4 linked regions of the Arabidopsis thaliana genome follow. The protein of the gene in region 1 purifies or fractionates together with the protein of each later gene. This does not show direct contact. Each region holds a gene or a part of one and is shown on either strand. Other genes may lie near its edges.

Evidence for each region.
Region 2: the proteins of RPN5B (region 1) and RPN1B fractionate together in Arabidopsis thaliana (co-fractionation; one large-scale study listed by BioGRID). This does not show direct contact.
Region 3: the proteins of RPN5B (region 1) and AT3G18190 fractionate together in Arabidopsis thaliana (co-fractionation; one large-scale study listed by BioGRID). This does not show direct contact.
Region 4: the proteins of RPN5B (region 1) and AT3G03960 fractionate together in Arabidopsis thaliana (co-fractionation; one large-scale study listed by BioGRID). This does not show direct contact.

What each region holds. Positions count from the first base shown.
Region 1 is NC_003076.8:25,892,558-25,899,132, forward strand, and holds RPN5B (regulatory particle non-ATPase subunit 5B), read right to left. Parts: upstream 4,030-6,575; 5' UTR 3,889-4,029; coding exon 3,886-3,888; coding exon of another isoform or gene 3,882-3,885; exon of another isoform or gene 3,783-3,881; coding exon 3,588-3,782; intron 3,428-3,587; coding exon 3,320-3,427; intron 3,208-3,319; coding exon 3,103-3,207; intron 3,005-3,102; coding exon 2,948-3,004; intron 2,844-2,947; coding exon 2,647-2,843; intron 2,504-2,646; coding exon 2,404-2,503; intron 2,310-2,403; coding exon 2,197-2,309; intron 2,096-2,196; coding exon 1,942-2,095; intron 1,844-1,941; coding exon 1,766-1,843; intron 1,689-1,765; coding exon 1,470-1,688; 3' UTR 1,223-1,469; downstream 1-1,222. Other genes in the region: ABR1 (Integrase-type DNA-binding superfamily protein), read left to right, coding at 363-1,099; RGF9 (root meristem growth factor), read right to left, coding at 5,124-5,287, 5,453-5,528. UniProt on the Arabidopsis thaliana protein: Acts as a regulatory subunit of the 26 proteasome which is involved in the ATP-dependent degradation of ubiquitinated proteins. Acts redundantly with RPN5A.
Region 2 is NC_003075.7:14,065,659-14,074,810, forward strand, and holds RPN1B (26S proteasome regulatory subunit S2 1B), read right to left. Parts: upstream 6,925-9,152; 5' UTR 6,700-6,924; coding exon 6,583-6,699; intron 6,250-6,582; coding exon 6,149-6,249; intron 5,984-6,148; coding exon 5,863-5,983; intron 5,771-5,862; coding exon 5,711-5,770; intron 5,526-5,710; coding exon 5,415-5,525; intron 5,258-5,414; coding exon 5,192-5,257; intron 5,053-5,191; coding exon 4,931-5,052; intron 4,788-4,930; coding exon 4,673-4,787; intron 4,553-4,672; coding exon 4,478-4,552; intron 4,385-4,477; coding exon 4,226-4,384; intron 4,128-4,225; coding exon 4,020-4,127; intron 3,943-4,019; coding exon 3,841-3,942; intron 3,750-3,840; coding exon 3,609-3,749; intron 3,527-3,608; coding exon 3,422-3,526; intron 3,339-3,421; coding exon 3,117-3,338; intron 3,022-3,116; coding exon 2,908-3,021; intron 2,820-2,907; coding exon 2,604-2,819; intron 2,507-2,603; coding exon 2,447-2,506; intron 2,351-2,446; coding exon 2,237-2,350; intron 2,143-2,236; and 9 more. Other genes in the region: AT4G28460 (uncharacterized protein), read left to right, coding at 425-643; AT4G28480 (DNAJ heat shock family protein), read left to right, coding at 7,652-7,816, 8,294-8,739, 8,998-9,152. UniProt on the Arabidopsis thaliana protein: Acts as a regulatory subunit of the 26 proteasome which is involved in the ATP-dependent degradation of ubiquitinated proteins.
Region 3 is NC_003074.8:6,229,953-6,235,743, reverse strand, and holds AT3G18190 (TCP-1/cpn60 chaperonin family protein), read right to left. Parts: upstream 3,637-5,791; 5' UTR 3,519-3,636; coding exon 1,908-3,518; 3' UTR 1,561-1,907; downstream 1-1,560. Other genes in the region: UMAMIT4 (nodulin MtN21 /EamA-like transporter family protein), read left to right, coding at 1-46, 146-262, 350-743, 838-989, 1,070-1,235; AT3G18180 (Glycosyltransferase family 61 protein), read right to left, coding at 3,866-5,025, 5,137-5,232, 5,318-5,474. UniProt on the Arabidopsis thaliana protein: Molecular chaperone; assists the folding of proteins upon ATP hydrolysis. Known to play a role, in vitro, in the folding of actin and tubulin.
Region 4 is NC_003074.8:1,021,287-1,029,096, reverse strand, and holds AT3G03960 (TCP-1/cpn60 chaperonin family protein), read right to left. Parts: upstream 4,954-7,810; 5' UTR 4,666-4,953; coding exon 4,515-4,665; intron 4,303-4,514; coding exon 4,040-4,302; intron 3,952-4,039; coding exon 3,805-3,951; intron 3,695-3,804; coding exon 3,533-3,694; intron 3,378-3,532; coding exon 3,300-3,377; intron 3,182-3,299; coding exon 3,048-3,181; intron 2,967-3,047; coding exon 2,894-2,966; intron 2,813-2,893; coding exon 2,735-2,812; intron 2,649-2,734; coding exon 2,526-2,648; intron 2,445-2,525; coding exon 2,350-2,444; intron 2,238-2,349; coding exon 2,028-2,237; intron 1,861-2,027; coding exon 1,803-1,860; intron 1,571-1,802; coding exon 1,493-1,570; 3' UTR 1,206-1,492; downstream 1-1,205. Other genes in the region: AT3G03970 (ARM repeat superfamily protein), read left to right, coding at 1-360, 444-953; ECT1 (evolutionarily conserved C-terminal region 1), read right to left, coding at 5,330-5,371, 5,470-5,607, 5,729-5,941, 6,026-6,574, 6,723-6,944, 7,116-7,186, 7,544-7,595. UniProt on the Arabidopsis thaliana protein: Molecular chaperone; assists the folding of proteins upon ATP hydrolysis. Known to play a role, in vitro, in the folding of actin and tubulin. Contributes to stem cell maintenance through its impact on transcription factors trafficking through plasmodesmata.

The sequences.
Region 1 (6,575 bases):
AAAATAAATATAATAACGAAACTGTACTTGATTATCTTAAGACATATACTTTAGAATTGTTGTAAAAAGGTTGGATATTTAATTAAGAAAATGATGATGATGATGATGATATGCCAAAAGAATTTATCTCCCTCCAATTGCATCAAGAGTCGTTTTCCACTTCCTTTTTTTTTCTACTTGTTCATTCCTTTTGTCACCCATTTGCCTCATCACTTTCTCATACTCGCTCTTAAAAAAAAAACTTTATAATATCTTTATTGGAGACATTAATATTATCGATTCTTTTTCTTATGTAAGAAAGTGTTAATTCACGAGTGACAACAAAAGTGTGAAATTTTACATGTTTGTTTGTTTATTTGCAGTGAGAGAAGCTTCGAGTAACATGTCAGGTCCGGGCCCAACATACGAGTATACAACTACGGCAACTGCTAGTAGCGAAACGTCGTCGTTTAGTGGGGACCAACCTCGGCGAAGATACAGAGGAGTTAGACAAAGACCATGGGGAAAGTGGGCGGCTGAGATTCGAGATCCATTTAAAGCAGCTAGAGTTTGGCTCGGTACGTTCGACAATGCTGAATCAGCAGCAAGAGCTTACGACGAAGCTGCACTTCGGTTTAGAGGCAACAAAGCCAAACTCAACTTCCCTGAAAACGTCAAACTCGTTAGACCTGCTTCAACCGAAGCACAACCTGTGCACCAAACCGCTGCTCAAAGACCGACCCAGTCAAGGAACTCGGGTTCAACGACTACCCTTTTGCCCATAAGACCTGCTTCGAATCAAAGCGTTCATTCGCAGCCGTTGATGCAATCATACAACTTGAGTTACTCTGAAATGGCTCGTCAACAACAACAGTTTCAGCAACATCATCAACAATCTTTGGATTTATACGATCAAATGTCGTTTCCGTTGCGTTTCGGTCACACTGGAGGTTCAATGATGCAATCTACGTCGTCATCATCATCTCATTCTCGTCCTCTGTTTTCCCCGGCTGCTGTTCAGCCGCCACCAGAATCAGCTAGCGAAACCGGTTATCTCCAGGATATACAATGGCCATCAGACAAGACTAGTAATAACTACAATAATAGTCCATCCTCCTGATGACTTGCTTCATTTTATTTGTTTCACTATAGAGTAATAGAAAACAGGAAAATGATTATATGTTATAGAGTTATTTTTCCAAATATTATAGGGTTTAGGTTGTTTGTATTGTTCTGCTTTCATCCTCTCATGCTTTTTTTCTTAATTTATTATATTTTTGCATTATAATTTCGTTTCATTGTAACAAACATTAAAAAGACCACATGGAGAAAGGAAAAAAAAGAGAGTTTTGTATATAATCTTGCAAGGTCTCCTAAAGAACACAAAAAAAATGTGTTCGAACCAAGCAGAGAAAGAAAACTCAAATGATTATGTTAGAACGAGAGCCTGAAAGATTCTTTCCACCGATGTGTGTGGCTAGACCGGGTTCTCAAGCTCTTAGTGCAACTTTATGAACCATTGTTTCTTTGTGAATTTGGTGACAACTCTTTTCAACAAGATCCAAAAGCTTCTCCAAGTTTGTTGCCCACGAGTTGAGGATTTCGTTGCTGTCTTTAACAATCTGGAAGCAGATTATTCCTGATGGTCTGTCGATTTTTGCTATCAAGGCTTTGGACACAACCATTTCAGATAGATGCTTCTCTGCTTCCTGAAATATAATGAAACGGTAAGAAGAGATTTAAACATGTACTGGTACACTTAAGAGTATTTTGAAACTATATTTACCTCAGTGGTTAGGCATAAAAGTTCTGCAAGTCTCTTAAAGGTAATCCTTGAGTAGTACTTTGAGACAACGAGAATATTCTGCAGAAGATGTGAAGAATTTGTAAAGTTAAGACTCTTCAGTAACAATTGATGCAATCAAAGAGGTAAAGATAGATTAGAGCTCAAAGAGTCTTTACGTGTTCGATTATTCTTAGTTTGAGATCTTCACCAGCTTTGTCACCCAAAGAGCCTCCAATCATGTTTTTCTCATTCTCAAACTCGTCCTTGTATTTATTCCAGAGAGATGTCCACTGAATCACCTCCATTGTAACAATCTGTTTTAGAAGCATCCTGCAACAGAATATAAACATAGGGATTGAGAATCTGTTTCAGATGGGAACGAGGGGAAGAGTAGTGAAAACCCAAATTTTTATCAAGATAAAGAGAATTACTTGAAATCAGGAATCTCTGATAACTTTTTATCTTCCAAGGTTGCATTGAGTAGGCTCGATTGCATTGGATCATGTGGTGCCAAGGCCAAAAACCAGCAAATCTTTCTCAGGACCTATATTTAGAGGATCAAGGGAGAAAAGTTAATCCAAGCTAATTACAGAACGTAGACTACCACAAGATCATCCAAACAACAATACGAGACTTACTGGAATCCATTGTTCTGGGTTTTCCTTTACAGAAGGGATATCATATATCGCCTTGTAGCTACGGCATATCTCAATGTACTCATTGTTGTGAGAATAATACCTACACAACAGAATCAGCACATTATATTTTTACTATAAAGATCACAGAAGTAAAGGGAAATCAAAATTCAGAGGAGAATAATATTCAAATATTTTGACACCAATAACTGGCGAAGAATGTATTAAACCAAATCAAGGACTTACCGAATCATTAGCTCATAGTAAATCCGTTTTAGCACCAACAATGTAGGTATATCAGCCGGAGCCTCCTCTACCATGTTTTCACCTTCCTTAGGCTTCTTTTTCTCCTTCGTGGTATCTGCATCAAACACTCTTGGGTTGATCTTCCTAGATAAAATTTGTGCACGGACAAAATCTTTTTGATCCAAACACAAGCGGACCTTCAGAAGTTTACACACCAATAATTAGAATCACAACATACAAACAAGAACAAAGCACAAAGCACAAAGCTTAAGAAATATGAAAAGATAACAGAAAGTCTTACTTGTTCAAGAATGAAAGCAATTTTCTCAGTTTTTGCCATAGCACCAAATGTCTCCACCTATAATTCATAATCACAATCAATGCACATTGATAAACTATAAAATAAATAAAAAACGATTTCCACGAAAGTTGGAAAGTAGAGGAAGAAAAGCTTACAGCAACTTCTTGCATGAGATCCGCAGCTTCAGCAATCAAACCTTGTTCTTCCTTAATCTTAGCAAGCATCTTGGTCAAACGAGCTCTCTCGATTTCGACATATATCTACACATGCTCACACACACATATTCATCAAGAAAAAAACTTGCACGGAGTGATCAAGATTCAAGCAAATATAACTACAACAACAACAACAATAGCCAACTCTAATCCGCACCTTTCCAGCAGCTACATTGTTTAGAGTCTTAATAAGCTCAATCCGAGTTTCTATGTCTAGTGTCTGATCAATATACTGCATTGCTTGTTGCACCATGGATTGTACAGCCTGCAAATCAAGAGACCTAACCACTTTCAATATCTCACTCAGTTCTTCATTCAATTTCTCAGTAAGATTCAGAACTCAGTAGAAACCGTTCCAAGTAATCGAAAACCTTAAACTACCACAAGCAGGTTTCAAAAGCTAAATCGATAGAAAGTAGTGTGACCTGCTTAAGCTGACCACGTTTCTTCGAGAGATTCAAAATCTGTTCGTTGAGAAGTTTCCAATCCTTAGCTTCGAAACAAAGCTTAAGAATCTCGGTAGCTGCTTTTCTAGTTCCGGCGACATTTTCTGCGAGCCTCATCTGTTTCTCTTCGTTCAGCAGCCGATCAATCGACGATTCGAGTTGTCTACTTTCTTCCTGCAATCAAATCACGACATCGAATTTGACAAACCAAAATTCGAACGGAAGAGAAAAGAGAGAGAGAGAGTTGAAAATCAGATCTGTGAAATCGGAGACTTGCCATTGCTAAACGCCGGGAATCAATACTCCGAGAGAGAGAAGAAGAGTTAGTGAAACTTTCCGGTGATGAAACAGATTTAACTTCTAAAGGTTCACTGAGAGAGAGAATGTTAGCGTCGAAACCCCAACCCCTTGAACAAGAAAAGCTTAGCTCAGACTATTTGGGCCTAATTATAACGTTTTATTTATTGGGACTTTTAACGAAATAGTGTAAGACTTTTGGTGTACATATGTAATAAAAGTATCTATTGGGTCTATTAGGTAAATATTGAATAAACCTACCTGTCGCCTGTAGGGTCATACCCAAATAGCTGTTGGGTAATATGTTATGAACGAAACTATAGGATCCATTTGTAATAAATGAAAATCTAAGGTCCATATGGCCCATTTGAGTAAGTTTTTTAAGGCCCATTATCGCTCGAGCCTCGGCAACTCTCTAACAGTAACAGAAAATCCATCAATTGCTCGGATTTATTTTTCTTTCTTTTGAATCCTTCCACTTGCAGTAGAGAAATTTCACCATGATTTTACTGACTTATAAGACTAATTTATATGTTAAGACAAGGATTATTGTTTGTGGAACTACAAAATTAAGACACTAATGAATTTAAGTTCTATCCTTCTAAATGAAAGAAGTTTGGAGACTGAAAACCAATCGATATTTGTCGAAAACTTTGATCCCATATATTATTTGGTATGTTGCCTAGTTTTTCCAAAGTCCTATTACTTTAAATTATAATCTATTTGATTGTATTTTGGTATATGCATATTTTGATATCAAATATCCACAACACCTTCATGGGATGGGAGCTTCCGTAGGTTTGAATTCGATATATAAAATCAGCAAATACTCTTTTGAGGTGTAATTTTATTTTATTGGAACTAATACTACAACAGAGTTAAAGAAGATATTTGTGGGTTTCTATATACACATAATATATTATAGAGTTTTATTTCACAAACAGAAAACCATGATGCAATCCATACATAAAGCTAGCACACACAAGCTATGATTATTGTATAGAACTGTTTTCCCTCGAGATAATACTGTACACATGCATACAAAGTCGTTTATATTTATATGTTCCTATAAATAATAATAGTTTACATTCTCACTTCTTTTCTTATATAAAATACATTCTCACTTCTTATAATTTATGTTTAGTAAAAGATAAAATCTCGGGATATCTTTGGATCTCAGGATATCTCACAAGAATTCGATAAGTTCATGTGTGTTTATTAGCGATTGTGTATCGGTCTTTTCTTGTTCGCAGAATTATAATCCATATCCATCAATCCATCAACATCACTTCCTCCACCTTCGTGCCTTATTTTCCGACTCTCTTGACTCTTCTCCACAACCAATAGCGTTCTATTCCTTACTACTTCTCGTAAGCTTCGTGCTAAAAAATCAAAATGTTTATATATCAAGAACTCATTATTGGGTAATATATTTTGATATTCAACCAAAAAACAAGAAGAAGATTCATTCAAATTATACTTGATATAGCTAGAAACTCGTGAGGTGAGCGCGCTTGTGTGTATATATATATTAGCTATAAATTTACCTTGAGTAGGAGAGGAAATGAAGAGTATGAGAAGAAGTGCGACGAGGAAAGACTTGTGGGAAACCCTAATTGCCATTTTTGGAAGAGAGTTTTTTTTCTTTGGTTATATAGAATTATCTTTTGTTGAACCTTTTTGTGTTTATATATAGAGATGAATGATTCTATGATCAGTTTATGGTCCCAATTTTATATCGGAATTGAATAACGTTTTGGAAGTTATTGAGACATATGGGTCTAAGGATTTGACGTCGATATTTCTCTGTCTTCCCACATTAACATGAATCTATCCCCACAAAATTAATATTTCTTGTTTGCAAAGCAAATAAATGATGATAATTTATGCAATCACGTCTTTTGAATGAGAAACAGAATTTCGGTTACAAACTTAATTTCACATTTGTATATGTAAGAAATTTAAACCGAAACACATACCTTAACCCAGTTTAGTAATAAAAAAATTCAGGAACTTTGGTAATCAAAAGGTCGGATGAAATCACGAACGAAGATCAATGACTTGTCACCTTTGATAAATGCCTGTTTGTAGTTGATTTCTTGAAACTATCTCTTGAAAAACGTTTTTCTTCTCTTTCTCAACACTTTCCTCAGTTTTCAAACTGTCAAAATCTAACTTCTTTCTATGTTTTTAAATACAAGATCAATATATATTACAGGAAGAGGAAATGAGGTTAGGGGAGTAATAACTTGCCATGATCTATTAACCAAACCAGTTTAGATGTTGCCAAATCATGGGTGCACACTACCAGCCGACCTTAAACCAACAGTTTAGATGTACTTCTACATGATGTCTAAATTGATATAAACCATCCAGATTCTATAACCATATTCACTATAATGTTGTCTATCTCATATAGACTAGTGGGATAAAACTCAAGGAGATTATTGAAAATCGAGTGGTCCTTTGATCATGGAGATGGAGTTGTGGTCCTTCAAAGGAATATGATTTATCAGAACATTGAAAACAAATGATTAATACGCAAGTCAAATAATGGATTCGTAATTAATAACCTAGTTTACATTCAATATTGTTCTACATACATAAAAATATTTATGTAGTCAATTGTGGACGAAGAGATATATTACTAACTTCGTATCGAGACTTGTA
Region 2 (9,152 bases), on another chromosome or scaffold:
GATAAAATTGCATCAATTAGTTTTTCGAATAAAACACTTGTTTTTAAAAAATTTATGTGTAAATATAATTTCGTTAACAAAATTCTCATTGATTATTTTTTACCTCTAAAAAACTAAAAACCACCAAAATGGGTATAAATGTAATTTGGCACATCGTAAAGTGTCATAAGAGCGACCCGTTCAAGTCATAATACTTGGTCAACACGCAAAATCGTGAGCTAGCGCCGGGAAAACCCGACCTAAGTGATGAACTCTCTCAAGTCATGACCGCTTCCTCGTCAAATAACTATAAATATTCCCTCTCATTTATTTGATTTCCCACATAACCATATCTCTTAATTTTCTTTGATATCAAACAAAAAAAAGGCTTCTGTTTTATTTTATTACTTGTCGGTACAACATAAAGAAGAGAAAGTAAAATACGATGAGAAGAGTTAGTTGGTCTACTGTTTTGATTGTGGTTGTGATGGTGTCGTTGTTTTTCGTAGAACACGTGGTGGTTCCGGCTGCGGCGGGGAGGGTTCTTACTGAAAAATCGGGAGATGGAAGTGCGACTATGACGGTGGAGAAGATGAAATCGACGGTGGATTCTTGGTTTCAGCGTTTGGCGTCGGGTCCAAGTCCAAGAGGTCGCGGCCATTAAATTTTCCTTTTTTACTTTTTTTTTCCTGGCCGGAGGAGATTAATTAATCTCGATATACCCCATATGTATACCAGAACAAACGGTGAAAACTGTATTCCATTCATTTATTTCATTATTTGTTTTTTTTTTCTTTAGGCAAAGTTCATATAGTTAGTGACAGAAACTAAAACCCTCAATATACATGTACATGATTTTTGCTTTTGCTGGTTGCTAATTTTAATAAGATTTTATACTTCTGGTTTATGTTTGGGAACGAACTTATTCAAAAAAAAAAAAAAAAGATACACCGAGGAAACAAGTGAGTCGTGCACGCCATCTATGTAAAATTGTAAATATGTAGCCGGGCTAGCTGGGTCACCCTTTCAACATTTTAATAATATTACATAGTTTTGGCCAAATCCGGAAACAACGAGAGGAGCCTTTGCATGTCACAAATTGAAGTTGGAGTGCGTACAAACCAAGAACTTGAAGTTCCAGGGCAGCAAACCAAAGAGCCCATAATCAATAAGCCAAGTTTATAGAAACGTCGAACGAGTTGATTTGAAGGAGTTGCAGGTTAAGAGAATTGGATTTGGAAACTTATCCAGCTTTTAGAATGCGATATTAAAGTAGTGCACAAGAAGTTCCTATATATTGCAATGAAGCTATTTTTTCTTTTAAAAGGAGAGATTGTGAACCATTTCCTGGGAACAGACGGGAATAAACTAAAAAACTTTTGACAACCGTAGTGAAAGTATTCAAAGGCTCTCTCTCTTTCTTCAAATGCTTGCAACTTTGGATTTACTCCTCTCTGTAGTCTGGATTTTCCTTCAATATGACGAAACCTTCTAATATGGGCGACAACGGAATGTACCTGTGACCCAAAAAGAAGCAGAGTTTTTTTAGATTCCAATATGTAAAACAGAGTTTTATTTCGAGTAGGATAATGTAACAAGGGGATTAGAGGAACAACATACTTCTCGGTTGCGAGTTCAGCTCTCTCCCCAGCAGCAAGGAGAACAGGTGTTGAGTGCGTTTGGAACCCAGTGATTGTCTTAGGTCGGCCTGCCTGTCCAACCACATCAACCGCTTGTCCTACCCGCACTGGCACCGAGATGGGCTTCAGGCTCTGATCCACCGTCAGCATCATCCTTGGCTACACACTCAAACCGTATTGTGTTAGTAGATAAACTTAGTTCATTAAAAAAAAAGTCATCAGACAGAAAATTGCACTCACCTGCATCGCCAAAACAAGGAAGTAGAGCACATAGTGATATTTCCCCAGTATAATGGATTTCATGTCAAGGCATGCATGCAACAATGTCACTATACCAGCAAGTGCGGTTCTAGGTACAAAATACAACACCCAAGTTTAGGATTCACAAGGTGGAGCTTTGAAAGCAAAGTATACATAAAATATATGTTATAACTTACGGCGATAGCAAGAGCCGTTCGGAGTGGAAAGGATTGAGAGTTAAGAGACCCTTTCCCATATGCACAAACCCTTGAGCGATGCGCACCTGCATTGTGACTTAAGACAATGAGAACAAGCCTATCATAAGTAGAAACCGTGTTTATTCCATGAAAACTTAAAAAGAAATCATAAAACGTTACACAGAAAAGAAGGCTGGCATCCTTGTAATAATAGCTGGAGAGATTTCTAAGCATGCCAGCTATCCTTGCATTGTTGGTTCCAGCGCCTATCAATCCAAGGGAGATAATTGCTGCCTGTAGGAATCAGATGAAACATCAGTCCAACGCTGCATAGCAAGTCAAAGAAATAACTACTCTACCTCAACCATGAGTGGCGAAAAGATAACTCACCATTGCAACTTCTGAATCTGTGTCATGGCTTAGTCTGCTCAAAGTGTCCATAACAGTCACCTGGAATTATAAAAAAGTTAGAGAGTAACAACAGTATTCTTAAGCAGAAAAGTAACTGCACGCCGCCGAAAACTAGATATGCAAAAATAATACTCACCTTTGGGTTTGATATACATAGGAGACCAAGAGCCAAAGGCACTGCACGTCGAATGTTCTGCTCTCCATACTGTAGTACGCGCTCCAAAGAACGGATCTCCATATCCAGACCCAATTCCTCAGACATAGCAACCATAGCTAATCCAATCACAGCTGGACCCTGGTGGATATCACCTTTCACCAGATGCTCTCCACACTGAGCCAGAAGGTCTTGGACCTGAATAGTTTGAATAGTTTGAAGAGTCAGACTAAACTAGAAAGAAGTGAATAATCTAATTCAACCACTAGCACACTTGATCAGATACCTTAAGGACATTCCCGGTTCCAGCATATGCACATGAAAGAAGTGTCATATCACAATACTTTCTGATTTTCTCATTGAACGTCTTTGAAACTTCTGCAGTAGCCTCCACACTTTCCTGCTCGATATTGGAACAAGTTAAAACTAATAATCGGGGAAATAACGATCAAGTACACGAACAAGAAAAATAATCAAGTATGACTGGCTGCCCACCTGTTTGCCAAGGTACAAAAGACCAAGTCCAAGAGGCAAGAAACGAGTGAGGGCTTCACCCAGCTCTGCCTCGCTCCGATCCATCAAAGCAAATATAATAGATTGTGCAACCTCTTCGTTACACGAACCAACATAAATCATCCCCAAACTAAGTGCAGCAAATGCAATCACATCGAGAGGTGCGTTGGCATCATTTAGTATTGGAGACAACCTGATTTTTATCTATCCAAACAGTGAGCATGTTATTGTCTCGTCAACAGAACATTCAACTTAGCACCATAGGTAAGAAGATAACATGTATTCACCTGATCATTTTGGGAACCCGCATATGCAATCCCGAGACCCATAATAGCACCAATTCGGACAGATGAATCCTCATTGTCAATATAACCTGAAAGAAGGGCAAATGCCTGAGAAAGAGAGCTGAGTGAGAATGAATGGCGAAAAATTGTGACACAGAGGTTCCCATATTAAAAAAAAAAAAAAACTCACAGGGTCACAATCATTCTTAATGCCACAATTAACAATCCCAACTCCCAGCAGAGCTCCAGCAACGACGGGATTATCGTTACTATGGAAATATTTGTCGAGATGACCTAGTCCGGTCTCCACATCCCACAATTGAATCATACCCTAGAATTGTTGTTAAAACAAGTTCGTGTTACAATTTTACTTCCAAAATAAAAACATAGCTAATCAATTTATCAAGTAAGATGAGGTATACCAGACTAGCAACTGCACTGGTCTTTCCATGTTCTTTATTTTTGAAGAGCCAGTTTCCAGCCGATCCACTGGTTGAGTCAGATGGTACTGTCATTAATTTGTCCTGCAATAAGGAAATATATGAAAAGGGCAGCTTCCAAAGTTCTTCTTATGTTGCACATTAAGATCCTGTAATCATACCTGGCCGAATCCAGCATTTACAAATGCATTCACAAAAGTCGCAGATAGATTTTGCCTAGCTGAGTCCACACTTGGACCAGAGCTAGCCCTACCATCAAGCAAGTGAGCCTGCAAATTTCAGTGGACAGGTAAGAGGCACTTCCATAAACATATCCTGTAACCAAATAAACCAGTAACAGACATAATATTCAATTAAACTGATATACCTTGTAGATGTCTTCAGGCGTCTTGGCCTCCATGACCTCAATATCCCTAGCAAGCGTCAGATATCCTTCACTCAACTTAGAGTTGTTAACAATATCCTGTAGCGCTTCTTTGTCTTCGTCATTTGCAACCATCTCTTGGTCAAGCTCAAAGGTCATACCCTGCATGGAGAAATAACAAGAGAAAAATAAATATAAGAAAATAAAAAATCAGGTACTGCACCTTTATGCTAATTTAAATTATTAAGAACTTACATGACGTGCAATCATGTAGCAGAACTGTTTCTTTTTTACCAGATCGGTACATGAGGTAAATACTTGCTTCACATACTGCACAAAGGAAAAATATATATCATAAGAAAAATACATAAGTTAAAGAAGAGCTTTTCCCAGCTGCTCCCATGTTGCAGAAAGAGGATATTAAGTTTTATATGAAGATTAGAACCATACCTGCATGTTATCAAGAAATAATGCAATTTGCAGCGCGTTTGGATATTCTGCAAACTTAATGTAGATCATGTAAGCAATATCTAGAACCAACATGTCATCTGGTCCTGGAAGATACCTGGAAAAAAACATACAATATCAACGGGACTGATAATGTGCAAGATAACCAAGCAAAGCTCATGAGAGCTTGTCTCATATGAAAATAACATAATTAAGGGTGAAACGCCAGTCGAATGAATAAGCTAAACATATTGAAATTACTTTGCTGCACTCGTGAGATAGTTGCACGTCCTCCTGAAATTTGTATTGTCAACATGCTCAAGTAAGAGATCAAGATCCTCAACATCCATTAAAAGGTCAACAGCTTCGGTTTCGGCATTATGCTGCAAAGAACAAAAGGGAATCCTTCAAAAATGTGAACAAAACAAGAGGCGCAAATTTCACGCCTATCAATGAAACTTATATTAATATACAATGGACCCCTTGTTATTACAAGAAAAGTAAGAATGACAAGGATCTCACCTTCATGTGAAAAGAAACAATTTGCTGCACAAGATCCATTAAGTCTTCAATAGAGGACTCTTCACCCTGATATAACAAAAAGAATGAGCATTATAACCATATTCAGTAACGAGCCCATTGTCATAATATTCATTAACAAACCATAATATCCATGACGTTGCCAGAATATGAGTGAAACTCCTCGAGCTAAAGAACATTGCCAAAGACCAAATTGTTTACTAACCTGACGTATTGTATACTCTTTTGCAATCTCTCCAGCCAAATTCCTGACATACTCGTGACCCCACGATCCGATGTCACTCTCTGATCCATTCAACCTATAGTTTAAGCTTTCCTGAAAGAGTATTGCATAACAAAGGATCAGCAACAAATAGCTTAAGTCAAATTCTACCAAGAACCACAAAACACAAATCTGGTAAGGCATATCATAAGAGGAAAACAAAAGGGAATCTAGTTAAATGAATGTGAAGCAAATAGCAATAGGCAAGAAACTCCTACAACAGTAGCAAGAAAGCATACCCTTTCACCTTCAGCAGACATGGTCAGTGCCAGGACAGAAAGTATATCAGCCAACATTTTCTGCAAAAACGAGTGCGATCTTATAATCCAGACTCAGTAGAACGACTAAGACGGTGTTGATGAGAAATGACTTAAAATGTTTGAAATCGTACTTTGAGATCAGACTCTGCCATTTTTGCATGAAATTCTTTAAGAACTCCATAATGAGGGCGGAGAAACTTGAGGGGTTTTGGAACTGATGTCATGGAGCTTGTTGAGTCACGAATTTCCTTCCTACATACCAAAAGAGATCGATCAAGATTAGACTATGAAAACAGTGAAAGCACTAAAAGCAGCAAAAGAAGTGTCATAAGCCCATTAAAGAAACTCCAATAGAAAATTATCAGAATATTTGCATCTAATCAAATCAAGGATGGGTTTAAGAGATACAAAAACTACCTCATGCTTTCAAGAGCAATCTTCTGTAACTCAGGATTGGGGTCCTGAACTCTCTCAACATAGAGCTCCAGATTCTGCTTTAGTTGCAAGTCCTCTTCAGACTACAATAACATCATATGCAAATTGAGTCAGCTGCCAATCAAACCAGCTAAAACCATAGCCATAGTACAAAAGATTCCTATTAATTTAACTCCATGTGACTTAAACCCTAACAAGAATTGTATCTTCCCAGAACGAGTTATAATGTGGATTTAACCAACTTCTTAACCTCGCTTTCTAAATAGCAATGCGACATTCACAATATATCAGCTAAACCGTACATCTCGGAAAATCTACAGCTTAATCGTGAGTTTTTTCCGATCTCCCTGGATTCTTTCTAACTCAGCTAAGCACGATTCCAACTAATAATCGAAATCGATATAAAGAAAACTCACCAGATCCTCTTCCTTTTTATCATCTTTCTTCTTGGAATCCTTAGAAGGAATCTTCGTCGTAGCTTCGTCCCGCTTCGCACCACCGCCAACACTGTTCGGATCCGGAACTGGAGCCATTGTAAGTCAGACTATCACCTGATCAAATCAACGAATCCAAACAATGAGTATCGAAATTCGTAAAACTCGGAAGAATCGAGCAGCTTCTATCTTATGAGCTCTCGCGTAAACCCTAAGTCTCTCTGGAATGGCTCGTTAGAGAAGAACTATGCTTTTCTTCAGGAACTGTAGCAAAAAGGTTCAACTGTAAAAAATAAATACTATCAGATAAAAAAAAGTACTTATACGGAAGAAGATTACCCCTCGATCAAGAATTCCATTGTGGGCTCAGCCCATAATAAATTGGGCTATTCATTGGGCCATAGTATTCTACTATGGTCTCTATATAAAACACCTTGTCTTTGGCAAACATCTCTATATATAATCAACACTTTAAAATTTATTTTATTTGGGCGATATAGCCAATCACAAAATAAAGGACTCCAAAAACATCTATTTTATCGGATTTACATTTGATCAATTTAAATTCGAAGCAACTAATTCGATCGGATTTAAATTCGAACAACATAATAATAGCAACATTTATATAAATACGTTACATGTCTTAGTCGACATGTTCTTTTATGGTAAAGTTAGCAATATTAGTCGAACTCAAACATATACCTTCACATAATGAAAGAGGAAATAACATTTAATTGTTTTTATAATTAATAATATAAATGGGAGAATCTGAATTACTTGAGCGATAATAAAAGAAGAAAAGGAAAAGAAATGGAGAAGGGAAGAGGCAAGATGGCAAAGCTGTGATTTAAAACACCGTCACCTCCCCGTCAACGGAGACAAACAAAGATCGTGTTTTCTCGAACCTTCCACGAGATATACTAAGCCAAAGAAGAAGAAGAGACCTGAGACGAACAAGAAATCCAGAAATTACCAATTCCTTTTTTTTGTTTAATCGAATTCAGGAAAAGTGAAGAAACGAAAGAGAGAAGACAAAGAAGAAGAAGGTGAGATGGGAGTTGATTATTACAAGGTTTTACAGGTTGATAGAAGCGCTAACGACGATGACCTTAAGAAAGCTTATAGAAAACTCGCTATGAAATGGCATCCTGATAAGAACCCTAACAACAAAAAAGACGCTGAGGCTAAGTTCAAGCAGATCTCTGAGGCCTACGATGTATGTGTTTGATTCCTCCACTGCTTTTGCTTTATTGAAATCGTCCCTAAAGTTTTGATTTTTATTTCTATTGAGAAATTTTCATTCCCTTGATACTGTCGGTGGTCACGAACTTGTTTCTGATTTTTGATATGAGATGCAATTAGTCTGATTTCACGATTTGATGTTGTGTTGGTTCGTGGGGTTTTTAGATTTCGTGTCCCTGAGTAATTCGAATCATAGTATATAGTAAAAGATGATTGCTTTATATTTGGGCAAGCTAGGTTATCTCCAAAGCTCTTAATTTGTGCTTTCTTTGCTGATCTTCTGAGTCATGATTTATCCGTTTTCTTAACTCTGTGATTGATTATTGAGAACCTCTTAGGCACTCTGTACTTGTCAATGTGTAGCTTAGGATTATGAGGAACATACTAAGATTGTTTGATTTGACTCAGGCTTTTATGAGGCTAATGTTGGTTTTTGTTGTGAGATGATTAGGTTCTTAGCGATCCTCAAAAGAGAGCTGTATATGATCAATACGGTGAGGAAGGGTTAAAAGGGAATGTGCCACCTCCCAATGCTGCTACTAGTGGAGCATCCTACTTCTCAACAGGAGATGGATCTTCGTCTTTCAGATTCAACCCGAGAAGTGCAGATGATATATTCGCTGAGTTTTTCGGGTTCTCGACCCCGTTTGGTGGCGGTGGTGGTGGCACTGGAGGGCAGAGATTCGCTAGCCGCATGTTTGGTGATGATATGTATGCCTCGTTTGGTGAAGGAGCAGGTGGAGGAGGAGCTATGCATCATCATCACCATCATCATCATCACGCTGCAGCTAGGAAAGTGGCTCCTATCGAGAACAAGTTGCCTTGTAGCCTTGAAGATCTCTACAAAGGAACCACCAAGAAGATGAAGATCTCCAGGGAGATTGTAGATGTCAGCGGGTAAGTGATTGAACTCAGATACCATTTCGATCACACTTATAACATTTTGTTATTAGGCTTATCTACTAGTCAACCTAGAGCATGGTTTTAGAAATATACAACCTCCCAAGTCCCAAGTATGATGAACATATATGAAACAAAGTTTCAAGCTTTTAGATTCTGCAACATTCCCCAGCTTCCATATGGTTAATTGTTGATTTGAGCTGACCCTAGTTGTTGTCTTAACAATATCTAATATCTGTCTTCTGGTAAATGCAGTAAGGCAATGCAAGTGGAAGAGATTCTAACGATTGGAGTGAAACCCGGGTGGAAGAAAGGCACAAAGATCACATTCCCAGAGAAAGGCAATGAGCATCCAGGTGTGATTCCAGCGGATCTAGTCTTCATCATTGACGAGAAACCCCATCCAGTGT
Region 3 (5,791 bases), on another chromosome or scaffold:
TTACAATCTCTTTACTGGCTCAGTTCTTCTTCTTGGCACTCATAGGGTATAGCTTAACCTGAGAACACAATAATAAGAACCGATTCCTCAATCCTTAAATCAATGATTATAATGCTGAAACTTTGCTTGTGTATTTTAACATCAGCATCACAGCGAACCAAGGATTCTACCTATTAGGACTTTACTATGCAACTCCAACTTTTGCTTCCGCAATGCAGAACTCTGTTCCTGCCATCACTTTCATCATGGCTTGTGCCTTAAGGTACCCTAGCAACTTCGTCCTCCTAGAAATACCATTCTAATCATTTTCATGGCTGGGTCTAACATTGATCTTCCTCTATGAATCAAGGCTAGAGCACATAGACCTGGTCAGGAAACATGGTGTGGCAAAAGTATTGGGAACTCTTGTGAGCATCGGTGGAGCCACCGTGATCACATTGTACAGAGGATTTCCGATATTTGACCAGGGCCTTAACATGCAAAAGGAAGAGGTGGTCGGATCTGACAACTCGCACAGCTTGACACTCGGATGGTTATACCTTATGGGACATTGTCTGTCATGGGCTGGTTGGATGGTTCTTCAAGCTCCTGTTCTAAAGCAATACCCGGCGAAGCTCACTTTAACATCCTTCACATGTTTCTTTGGTCTGATTCAGTTTCTGGTTATTGCTCTCTTTGTGGAAACTGATCTAAATAATTGGATCATCGTCTCTTGGGAAGAGCTCTTCACCATCCTATACGCCGTAAGCTCCCTCCCTCTGTCTCTCTCTCTTCCTTTTCCTTGATCTGAATCAATGGAAATTAGCTAAATGAATGTTCCTTTGGCCGTGTTTACAGGGAATAATAGCGTCAGGGTTGGTGGTTTATCTTCAAACATGGTGTATCTACAAAAGCGGTCCAGTTTTTGTCGCTGTTTTCCAGCCTCTCCAGACACTTCTTGTTGCTGCGATGGCGTTTCTTATTCTTGGTGATCAGTTATACTCGGGAGGGTAAGCGCATTGAAAACGGGATGTATCGGGTTTTGTTTCTCTCGATTACTCGATCTAATAGAATCTTTTTGGCTTTGCAGGATTGTTGGTGCAGTGTTTATAATGCTAGGGCTCTACTTAGTTCTTTGGGGCAAAAACGAAGAAAGAAAACTGGCTCTTGAAGAGAGTCAACAAGATCCAGAGTCACTGACCAAACATCTACTTGAGGCACAACACAAGAAGAGTAATTCTGAATCTGAAGTGTAAAAGTGCTGCAAACACAACGCATTACTTCTCTGTACATACACATACAAGAACTTGGCCAACACACAGGCTCCTCAAGTGGGTCTCTCATACAATTGATATCCTAGTCGTTTACTTTTGAGTTGTAATCAAAATTGGGTTGCAATTTATTTATGAATAAAAATGAAAAGATGGTAACATTAAATCAAAGTTGACAATAGAGAAGCAAATGTTCTGATCCGGTCTGGTTGGAGACAGACCAATGACCTGGAGAACTCATGTTCATGCAACTGTGTACTGTCTTAATCTTTCATACAACGAATCTATAACATTTGTGACCCAGTCTATGATTAACCAGATAGGCAACTGATTTTGTGACCCATCATGCATCAAATATTTGAGTCCCAGTAATTAAAGTTCTGTTTCTACTCCTACCATTTGGACTTTCATAACCAAAACTAAATCAACATATGAAACAAAAAAAACTGAGAGATCTTGATATCACAAGTCACTAGAAAGAAATACAATCGCACTAAACCACAAATAAAGCCACTTAACTGCAATAGCACATGTTGCAAGAAAAGGGAGTCTAAGTTCAAAACCATTGTGCAAGCACAACACATGAAAAAAACGAAACAAAAGCTTAGATAGAGCAATAGAAGTGTTCTGGGACCTGTTTTGAAAGAAACTACCACACTACCTCACAGTTACGATGTCATCAATCTTCAAAATCATCCTAACGCATTCAGTTGCTAAAGTGATCGCACTGGTACTCACAAGCAGAGGCTGAACAACATTTTCCTCCAAGATGTTAGTGATCTGTCCTTTCCTCACATTGATCCCTGCGTTGATTTCCCCTTGAGCATGCTTGTTCCTGAGTTCAGTCACAATGGCGATAGGGTTTAACCCTGCATTCTCGGCTAGTGTGTAAGGAATAACTTCGAGAGCTTCAGCAAAAGACTTCACACAGTAACCTTCCATCCCATGTAGCACCTTAGCCCAAGCACCGAGCTGCCTTGAGAGCTCAATCTCTGGTGCACCACCTCCTGCAATCAAAAACCTTTTGCTCACTAGACACCTAACCACACACAAGGCATCATGTAAACTCCTTTCAGCTTCATCTAGAACAAGCTGGTTGGAGCCACGAACTAGAACAGATGTAGTTCTCCCCATGTCCTTGATACCAGTGATCTTCAAAATCTTTCCATCTCCAAGGGAGGCCTCCTCAACAAGATCAGCATGGCCAAGCTTCTCAGCTCTGAAATGCTCAATATTGGCGATAGGCAAGCAGTTCAATGTCTTGGTGACAAATTCAATCTCATCTCTCTCAACATCCTTAATAACCATAATCTTAGCTTTGGCCAAATAGTGAAGAGATAGATCAGTCACTGCATCCCTCAAAATACTCTTCTGAATCAACAACACATTGCAACCAGTTGCTTTGATCTTCTTAATCATCCCCAATATGTAATTCCTCTCTTCTTTCAAGATCCTATCCATCTGAGTATAATCAGAGACAACAATACTCTGCTCGATATCAGTCTTAGGAGGTGAGATCTGGAACTGAATCACAGCAATCTTAGCATTCTCCACACGAGTCGGTCCACCAGCAGCACGGCTAACCTTCTTATCAAAAACCAAACCTTTCACAGTATGTGTATCATCCACAGTCCCACCAAGCTTCTTAACAATCTTAATATCACGCAAATCCACAATCTCAGGCTTTTCCGGATCTATAACAGAGAGAACCGCATCTACAGCTAAAGGAGCAAGCAATGTAGAGTACTGACTAACAACCTTACTGTTAAGCGATGTGCTCGCAGATTTCACAAGTGAATCTCTATCAGTGAGCTCCACTGGAACAGCCATGGCAGTCAAAATATCGATCGCCTTACCACACGCCTTGTGAAGCGAATCTGAAATGACAGTAGGGTGGATCCCGTTTGTGAGAAGCGATTGACACTCCTTGAGAAGCGCACCGGCGATTACTACGACAGTTGTGGTACCATCTCCGGCGGCTGAATCTTGAGATTTGGAAAGCTCGACTAACATCTTCGCCGCTGGCTGCAAAACCTCCATCTTGTTAAGGATCGTAGCTCCATCGTTAGTAATGATTACCTCTCCGTTCGCCGTGGAAATCATCTTGTCCATTCCTTTCGGTCCCAAACTAGTACGGACGGCGTCAGAGACTGCTCGAGCAGAGTTGATGTTCGCGAATCGGATATCTTCTCTCCGCTTGTTGTCTACGAACGATTCAGCTTTAGATCCACGGGGCTTCGAAGCCATTGGTGCCGCTACCGCCGCCATTTTTTTACTACGAGTGAGAGAGCTTGAGATCTCGACGGAATTGATCTCGAACGGAGAAATTTGCAGAAAACCCTAAATGGAAGTGTGACAAGAGTGTTCTGGAAATGAAAGAGAGAATAGAGAATTTGAAAAAAGCCCTAGGGTATACGCTATTGTTTGATAAATGGGCCTGTTTTGAGTTTTTATGAGTTAGCCCAAAAGGCCCAGTTATTGGTTCAGACTTCAGACTTGAGTGTTTGTTAAGGGGACGGTTAAACAAATTTGAGAAAAATCTAAACTAGACCAAATGATCTGGTAATTATTTCGTTCCCAAGATTACAGTACACGAATGCTTGAAAGTTACTTATTTACACTGACTGATTATGCAATAGCTCAAGAGCTTTGACAAGAACCAGCTTGAACCGGTTTATATCAACGCTAACGTTCTGCTGTACCAAATAAACCGACTTGAAAGTTCCCCACCCGCGTTTTGCAACGGCCAATGGATCTCTAACGAACTCGTGATCGCGTCCGTACTGCTTCACCAGTGTGCTCTCCTCCGCCGTGATCTTGTACTCCAAATACCTCAGATTCATGCCCTTCGACGGATACTCGAAATCCATCTTTGCAAGCCACTCGAATCCACCGATCGGAAGAATCTGAATCACGATCGCGTTATCAGGTAAGAACACCATGTTCGTCATCCCCGCGCCGTGAACGCCGAGCATCACGTCACAGGAGTTCACAGTTATTGCGAAACTCGCGATTTCCGTGTTTGCTTCCGCCACCACGACTTTAAATCCGATTTGTCTCGCCGCTCTAGCGATTTCACCCGCGTTCACAAACGCTCGCGATCTGCTCCTAGACAAAATCAGAATCCGTGGCTTCCGCCTCGTAGTCACGGCGGAGTTTCTCAATGAGTATGTGTCTCTGAGGAATTTCCGGAAATCGGACATTGAATACTCCGAATTCGAAGGATCAGTCGTTAGCTCTTTGTCATAATCACGGTGGCGATTGAGACCAACGATGACGCTGCTGAAACAATGCGTTTCGTCTTCTTCGTCGATGTAAATCACTTCGTAATTAGAGAGTTTCCTCACTAATTCCTTAAATTTGTTGATCCACAAAAGATTCTTGTTCGTCACGAGGAACTGAACTTCACCGCTGAATCTACGCGCCGTCGTGTACAGAGGAATCACGATGTCCGTGAAATCATGGAAATTGTTCAACGAGAAGCCTCCGAGAGAGAAAAGAATCGCCGGAACGCTGTGATTCCTAACGCAGCGTGATAAACTAGCGTTTTGTACTAATTTCACCGTCCATTCTCTCACGCGTTTCATGGCAGGAACTTGGTCTTTTCTCGCATAAGGTCTCATATACCACGTGGAATTCCCGGAAAACGCAAACGTGACCGCCGCAAGAACAGTTGCGGATTTACCATGGATTCTTACGTCGCCGCTTACATCGCAAAACTCTTTGCTTCCTAGTGTGTTACAGTGACAGATAGGTTTCTCCATTTTATTGCACTCTGAAGATTCAGTCAGGACAAAATCAAAAGAACAAACTGTATCATACTATACAGAAAATGACTAAAAACCATAACAAGACAATTGTAGAGAAAATTCTGAAGTATATTGACCTGAAATAACTTCTTCTTTGGAGATTGTAGTGTTGGTAGTTAATTCTGTTATACTCAGCATCCTTAGACCAGTGCCAACTGATAACTGTAACTCCACTGAAGAAAGAAAGAAAGAGATACACGTTAAAATGATTGTTTTTGCGTTATCTGGCTTTTCGGCAAAACGTGGTAAGAGACTTACCGATTGGTAAAGGGCTGAGATAAGGTTTAACGACAGTGCAAAGAGTGAGGACCAAGAGAAGAGAGGCAATGAAAGCTCCACAGCAAAGTCTCTTCTGATCAGTTTTGCTAAAACTACGAGCAAGTACTGTATCGTAAAGAATATCCTTCTTTGTCATCTCTTGACTCTTAAGTTACACAAAACTTTTCTTTCTTCTTCAGCAAGAAACTCTATAATCAGAGTTTACTGGCTAATGTAGAGATATGAAGGTCAAGCTAGGTGGGAGAGCGAGAGGATTATGTGAGGTATTTAAGAATTTGTTTGACGATATTATCTGTGTTTTTTTTTTCACTATAACGTTTTAGTTATTGAGAATGAATATAAAGGGTACTGGTTTAAAGAAGAGAACTAGCTAGAGCATGTTCAAAGTGGTTCGATCTTATATTGGTAGAGTTTAAGGAAGAAGGAGAAGTCTTGGGAGTTTTTTCTTTATTT
Region 4 (7,810 bases), on another chromosome or scaffold:
TATCAAGAGATGGAGAAATACCAAAAAGATCAGCATTATGTCAAAATGGCAGCTCATGAAACCATGAGACAAGCAGAGAGATTAATATGTGAGGCAGATCCGATGTTTGATGCAGAGAACTGCAAGCCCCGAAACTCGCTCAGCGGATCAGTCAAGTCTACATCAAGTCTGCGAGAACATGATGGGAGTGTCTATAGTAGACAAGATAGGAGTTATGTAAACGATCAAGACGAGTATGATGTTTTGTTTTCTGGTGTAGCCAGTGGAAGAACTCTTGTCTCAGGCTCTCCTCTGGTGACTTTCGGAGACAATAACCAAGAAACTGGTTTTGTTATCGAGAGTCCAAGAATTGGAGATCAGGTAAAAAAGACTACAAACTTTAAAGCTGTCTCTTGTGTGTCCTTTTTCAGTGAAGTTTCATTGTGGTGCTTCTTTGATTTCAGATTCAATGTTCTGGTGTTGAAAATGGCAACATTGAGTCAGTTTGGTTCCATCAGCGGAACAGAAGCTCCGAGTTTAATGAATCTGTGTGCTCTAGGACCAACCGCTCAAGAAGTTCAAGACGAAACACCAAGAAGAGACAATCAGGAGACATTTGTTCAAAACATCACAGGCATGGTTTCGCACAAGATCCATTCACTGAGTTACTAGATAACAGACAGCAGCTGCTACAGTACAGTGAAACCTCGTCATCATCATCAATATATGATACCTCTGGTACTACAACTCCAACCAACACAACAGAAGATATCTGTGAGAAACCAAAAACAGATTTGGATTCTGAGGCCAAACTTAAGACAGTGGAGACTGAACTAGACCCACGTCTGGGACGGAGCAAGGGTGTGTTAAAATTGGGATTGAGTGTCTTCTCTATTGCAGTTGCAGGGTTTGCTTCTTTCATGTGGATGTATCTCCAGGATGATATGATGCCTCCTCATCTTGTTCCGACTTAAAAAGTCTAAGGGATGAACATTAAAAAGCTTAGAACTTACATAGGTTCAAATTCTAGCTTAGTTCTCTTGTTCTTTTGTCAATGTGTGGATCATGTTCAAATACTAGTTTGTTTGTTTTCTTTTTCCTAATGAATTTGTCACTTGTTCAAAAGTCGAAACAACTGTTAACCAGACATATTTACATAGGTTCAATTTCTAGTTAGGTTCTCTTGTTCTTTTGTCAATGTGTGGATCATTTTCTTTTCCCCGAATGATTTTGTCACTTGTTCAAAAGTCGATTCAAATAGAAACCAAATTGACATTAATACAGAGTTAAGCCAAAAATCCTAGTAATAATTTCACTAGCTAAACCGGAAAATCTGAGTGTTGAGACGAGCCAAAACAAGGCAAAACAGAAAAAGAAGGCAAAACACTTAAGTTGGTGGTGCGTTACAAAGATCACAAATCTTAAACTGAGACATACCAAAATTTTCTCAGACTTTCAGGAACAGAAGGTTACAAAAGAAGAGAGTTTCACTACGAGGTATTTGTTCTCCGGCTTAGTCTTCCTCCGCACCAGCACCTGCAGCTTGAGCTGCATCTCTCCTTGGTCCACCTGCTGGTTTCGCCATTATAATCTGCACATTTTACATAAATTTTGAGTATAAACATGCATGTTTTAGTAGATGAGATCAATCAGTGGAACTGAATATTGAATCTAAGAGTTTTCACGAACAAGGGACTTAATCCTGGAAGATAATGCATTCACCGAACAATATCTTTTTACTTCATGTGATGAATCAACACTTTACAATATAATAAAAAATTGCTCCGTTCACCAAAGATTAAATCAAGTCAGTTTGTGCATACCTGGTCTACACGAAGTACAGTGCATGCAGCATCTGAAGCATATTTAAGGGCAAATAACCTGCACAGAGACTTAAGCGTCTTAGTTATCAATTAAAGTGAATGGTAATCTTTGTAACCAGTCAGAAAATTCTACTCCAGTTTTTATATGTTCAAGAACAACTGCTAAGCAAGTATAGAGACGTCTGATAGAAATATTTGATGGCAAAAAGACAGTCTGAAACTTACTTGGTTGCAAAAAGATCCCATACTTTTGTCTCTGAAACATCTTTACAAGCACCTTCCTCTAAGTCAATGCCTAGTTTTGTGTTTCCAGATCCATGTCCAGTGTACAGAGCGGCTATGATTTCCATCGCATTGAGGCCAGCATTATCTGCAAGGGTCTTGGGTACAAACTCAAAACTCTCAGCGTATTTGGTGATGGCATATTTGTCCAACCTGAAATTTCAAAAGCGAATCCTAAGTTCAGTCCCCAAACCATAGACAGTTTTGCTTTAAAAGCTAGCCTCACATGTTTAATTTTTGAAAAAATGAAGTAAAAGAAAGTTACCCTATTTCTGCATTGGCGTATTCCTTCAACCTTTGAGCCAACTCTATTTCAGTCGCTGCAGCCCCGGGAACAATACGGCTGTCTCTGCACATGGCCTGAAAATAAAATTGAAGTAATAACAGTCACAAATTAATGAATTATACGATATAGATGGTACAAATGAAGCTAGATATTACCTTGTATGTGTTAACTCCATCATCAACAGCTCTCTCAAGGTCGTCCAAAATGCTATCTGTGCTTCCACGCAAGACCACAGTGGAGATGGAGTTACCACCTTCCTCGTTTCTTGCAATCGTGACCTAAAAGAAGACCGAGAATTGTCTATGATTAATGAAAGACAAAAATAATTAACCAAAAATATTGGAATTGACTTCGGAGTACTTACTGTCACACCACCAATTTCCTCAACCGATATAGAATCAACATATCCAAGATCTTCAGGGCTTGGCCGGCTAAGCTTCAACTGTTTGATAATTAAAGGATTAAAAGCTAGGATAAAACCACCCTTAGATACTCATTCAGATAGCCAATTAATAACACTTACATGGGCGACAGCCCCCGCTGTACGGCAAAAACGCCTCAGTTCAAACTTTGAGCTGATTTTCAATACCATTATCCTGCCAAGAAAAAATGGGGTATCAGAATGCAGACAATAACAATAGCTAAGACGAGTATAACATGATATGGTCTACACATACTTGTAGCGCTCACAGAAATGCAATGCCATTTCTCCAATTGATCCTCCACTAACAATGACTTTGGCTCCTGATTCCGCAACTGCTTTAATCAACTCCTCAACTTTAGCTTCCTCTGTCTTTGCATAGTTCTCTAGCTACAAATCCAATATAAAAAGAGAAATTTGTCACAATAACGATTACAAATACACAACCATCTTTGAGGAAGCCATAATCGTAATTTTGAAATTTTAGAAAGACAGTAACAAATCTAACCTGCTCAGCACTATGAATGAGGACAGTTCCTTTGGTCTCTGTTGCAGTGGTATCAACGCCACCAGCAAATACAGCAACCTGAAGAAAGCATAACAAATTGATTTAGAGACATTAAGCTATCAAAAACAGAAAAGACAAACCCACAAAGCTATATTTCATAGGGGACCCAAACATTGATCAATTCAGACAAAAAAAACTTTGTCAAAAGCATAAACAAAAGAAAGAGATCTCACCTTCGCTTTCTCCATTCGCTTAATGCTACCAACAGCATCACTTTTCAAGACCATACCACGGACTATGCAAGAATTGTGCAAGCCTCCTCCCAAAAGCTTGGAAACACGAACATTATCCACATTGAAATTCGTTGGATTCTTTGGGCAGACTTGAATACATGCCTAGAAATAATATGAACCCATCAAGTAAAATCTAAATCTGCAATAAACTTGAATAAATAACAATCTGAACAACGAAACAGGAAACAAATAGATAGCAAGGAATATCTTACGTCAGTAACTAAAGAGCAAATTATTTCCTCTTGCCCAAACTGCTTGCTTGCAACAGCTGCTCTCATCCGAGAAATAACTTCATCCTTGTTACGTACATCCATGGTCTCAGAACCAGTCTCAACCAGTTGTTCCAGTATTTCAACAGCCTGCATAATCAAAATCCAATAGCATTCGTCAAATACTCAAGACAAACAAATTGAAAAGCACAAAACAGTAATTCAGGTATTCACCAACCTTGCTGACAGCTTTAGTATATCCACTAATGATCTCACTCGGATGAAGTCCCATCCTGATAAGCTCCTCAGCGTTTTGAAGAAGTTCACCAGCAAAGGAGATTGTCAGATTAGCTCCATCTCCGATTTCTTCTTGCTGAGCCTTAGCAGCTAAAACCAGAAGTTTAGCAGCCGGGTGCTGAATCTCGAGCTCATTCACTATAGTAGCAGCGTCATTTGTGACAAACAGTTTGTCCAAATGATTGATAACCATTTTATTCATTCCTGAAACATTATAAACAGAAGAACTCAGTTCTAATCCGAATCTGAATCCCTAGAAAAAGACTTCACCTTTACAGTAACAGATCAAGCTTGCTTAAACTATACACAAGCGAGATCCTACTTACAACACTCAAGTAAAAGTAAAACGAAACGGAGAAAACGAGATTCATCATTTCAGTATTAGATCAAATCCCAATCAGAGAAACATTACGAACCATTGGGACCGAGAGAGGTGCGAGTAATGGTGGAGAGCTCCTTGCAAGCTTCAATGTTCTTAATGACGGCTTCGTCGAGACCAGAGAGATGCCTGTAACCTTCTTTAAGCATCGATTGAATACCATATGGCTGCATCGACATACCCACCATTTTCTAAGGTAACGATCTATAAGCTTCGAAGTTGGGTCACTCGAAACAATAGAGCAAAAACCCTAAAAGCGAAGAAGAAGAAGCTCTGTGAGATTTTCGAAGAAGTTTAGAGAGAAGGTTTTCTGTGAGTAAAAGTGGCCGAGATTGCCCTAGAAAACTTTCGAGGTTTTAAAATGGGAGTTCACAACGGTGTCGTTTTAAATTTTAAGGGGATGGGGGCCAAAAATTGAGATCTTAAATCTTTAGGGGTGAAAGTTGTATTATATGAAAGTTTAGGGACGAATAGAGAACACCATTCCTTCTGGTTTTTGTGCTAAACGGTGTCGTTTTAACTTTTATGGTGATGTGGGCCAAAATGTGAGATTTTTGACATTTACGGATGAGAGTCTTATTATATGAAAGTTTAGGGACTAAAAGAGAAATAACTTGAAAATAACATGATATGAACTTTGAAGGAAAGCCTGAGTTTTTGTTTTATCAGATGTGCGTCCCCTTAAGAGGAACAAAAGACAATGTAAGTTTTGTTTAGATAAGCAGAGAAAACACACAGATTAAAGATGTGTATTAGGTTTTTAGAAATCCCAACCCTGAAGAAAAAACATAATTCAAAACTAAGTTCTTTTAATTAAGTCATCTTCTTCTTTCCTTGCATTGATTCCATCTTTCAACTCAAGTTAATTGTTTCCCCCGAAGCTCCATCAAGGGCCTAATATAACAAAACAATCAAAATGAAACAATCCCAGAGACTGTATCAAGAGGGGTGGTTAATGTGCTTTAGATGCAGCAGGGTTTAAGGAATTGTACCTGTTTCTTTTGCTTGATCTTCTTGTCTCTGATGATCTTCTGCCTTGTCTCATAGAACTTGTAATCATCAAGTATACATGTCTTGCTCATATACTCCTTGAAGATCTTTATGATCTTGGTCCCATGCTCCAGATTCACCTGTACCAAAACCATCACCGTACAGTTTAAAAGCCTGACTAACAGCCATAATCATTATTTATTAGAATTCAATTAGGCTTCAAACATGTCCAAGAAAGGGTTTAGGGGAAGTTCAACGGACCTCTTGAGTGTCTCTGCTATTAGTGACAGGCTTGTTCTCGTTATTCGCCAGGGTAATGTGTCTTAAGAGACTGTTTGGTATGTCTTTGATGATATGCCACTTCACAGGGAAACAACCAATCCATTTATCTTGCTGCCAATACTCCATTGTCTTGTTGAAATCAACAGGGCCTACCATCTCCGCAAGACCAACAAATTGCCCACTTGCATTCACCTGTAGATAAAACCGATTACAGTGAGTTACTTAATGTAAATCTGAAAGGATATTGCACAAGACGTGAAGTAACCTCATACTGACCGAGAACAGAAGATACACAGGGCATTCTTGGGAGTTTTCTTTGGCTTCATAATATGCAGCATTCAACTTCTTGTTGCCAGTTGGTGTGCTCGACCATGCACCATACTTAATACAGTTATGAACATCATCTTCGCTGTATGACTTGATCACAAAGAATTTTGCTTTCACAAATGATTCAGGGAAATTCTCCCCATTGTAGCGCTGGAGATCTACTGCTGAAACGTCTTGCTTCATTGCATCTAGCATTGAAGAGTTAAGAACTTGTGGATTCTTGAAATCACTACTCCTTGGTCCTCGACATAGCTCATTAAGCCTATCTGCTTTCTCATCACTGTAACCACGCCCATGATTGAAGCTTCTGGTCTTTCTATAACCATCAACGGGATACCATCCTCGCCCAAGTTTCCAGGAATCATAACCAAAAGTTCCATATGCATGACCAGAGTCAATTACATTCCCGTAAAGTCCATACAATCCATGGTTGGAATACAAATGATCATTATATCCCAATTGGTCAAAACTTGGTACTTCTTGTGAGCTGTGTGGATTCTGTTAAATAAAACAGTTGTAGCCAGTAATTAGACAAAAAAAAAATCCCAAGTCCCAGCAGAGATGACGAAGAGAACAAAACACACATTCTCTTGACTATATGAAGACAGAAAAGAGGCAGAGAGGTCATGTGAAGTAACCAACATACCATGAGATGTGAAAAGGAACTGTGATTGCTGTTGCGGTCATAACCAAACCTCGGATCAGGGTAGCCACCAGAAGGATAGTTTGCTGGGATGTAACCCCACGGGTATGAACCAATCGAGTCTCCACCATTTAGCAGATTGCCAGCATTCATGTTTGGCCTTCTTTCACTTCCATGAGAAGATGCACCATAAGGTGCATGACCATACGGATGCTGAAAAGAACCCTTCTCAGAAAACAGTCAGTTAACAAAAAAAAAACTCACAGTATATCAAATTCACATTAAATGAGCAGCAAGACCTCTCCACAGAACAGTTTGTAGTTAAAGATCCTTCGACACAACACAATTTAAGTTCCAAAAACTTTAAATTTTCAAAAAGAAGTAGTAATTAAGTACCTTAGTAAAGTTCATAGGAACTTCATTTGCATCTGAACCTAAAGACAAGTCCTGAAACAAATCTGCTGTATCTGCAGCGATTATATACAAGAGCCCAGTTAATATTTTAAAATGACAAAGCCTCAAACTCCAATTGCACAGTCTAAACAAGGCAAATTACTGGTGAAATTCAACCCATAAGCAGATAAAAAAACACTAACTTGCAGAAAAACACAAAATTTCATCTAGCATCCCATAAAGAGGTTTGTAGAGAACTCTAGACACCAATCAATCCTATCAGAAACAGAAAACCTACGACAGATACTGATAACACTAGTCGCTAAACCCTAAACCCAAGGGTAGAAATCAATCGCAAGTTATAAGATGAGCACAAAATGATAACTTCCGATGCCAAAAAAGTTTTAATCTTTGAGCTAAAAGCAACGTACCCAGAAGAGGGAAGCTAGTGACGAGACGATCAGAAGAAGCGGCTCCAGCCATATCGAGAGAAGGCAAAAAAAAGGGATAAGCTTTAAGAGAAGGAAAACCCTAGAAGGTTGGGCAGATGAAAGCAAACGCAACCTCGAAAAACCCAGAGAGAGAGAGCGCTTTTGGTGTGTGGGGGGTTTTAGAAAGTTCCGTTCTTTTTTGTTTTCTTCGTCTTCCTTCCCCTTTAACGTAAGGCGGTGATCTTTAACAAAGAACAGAAATGCCCC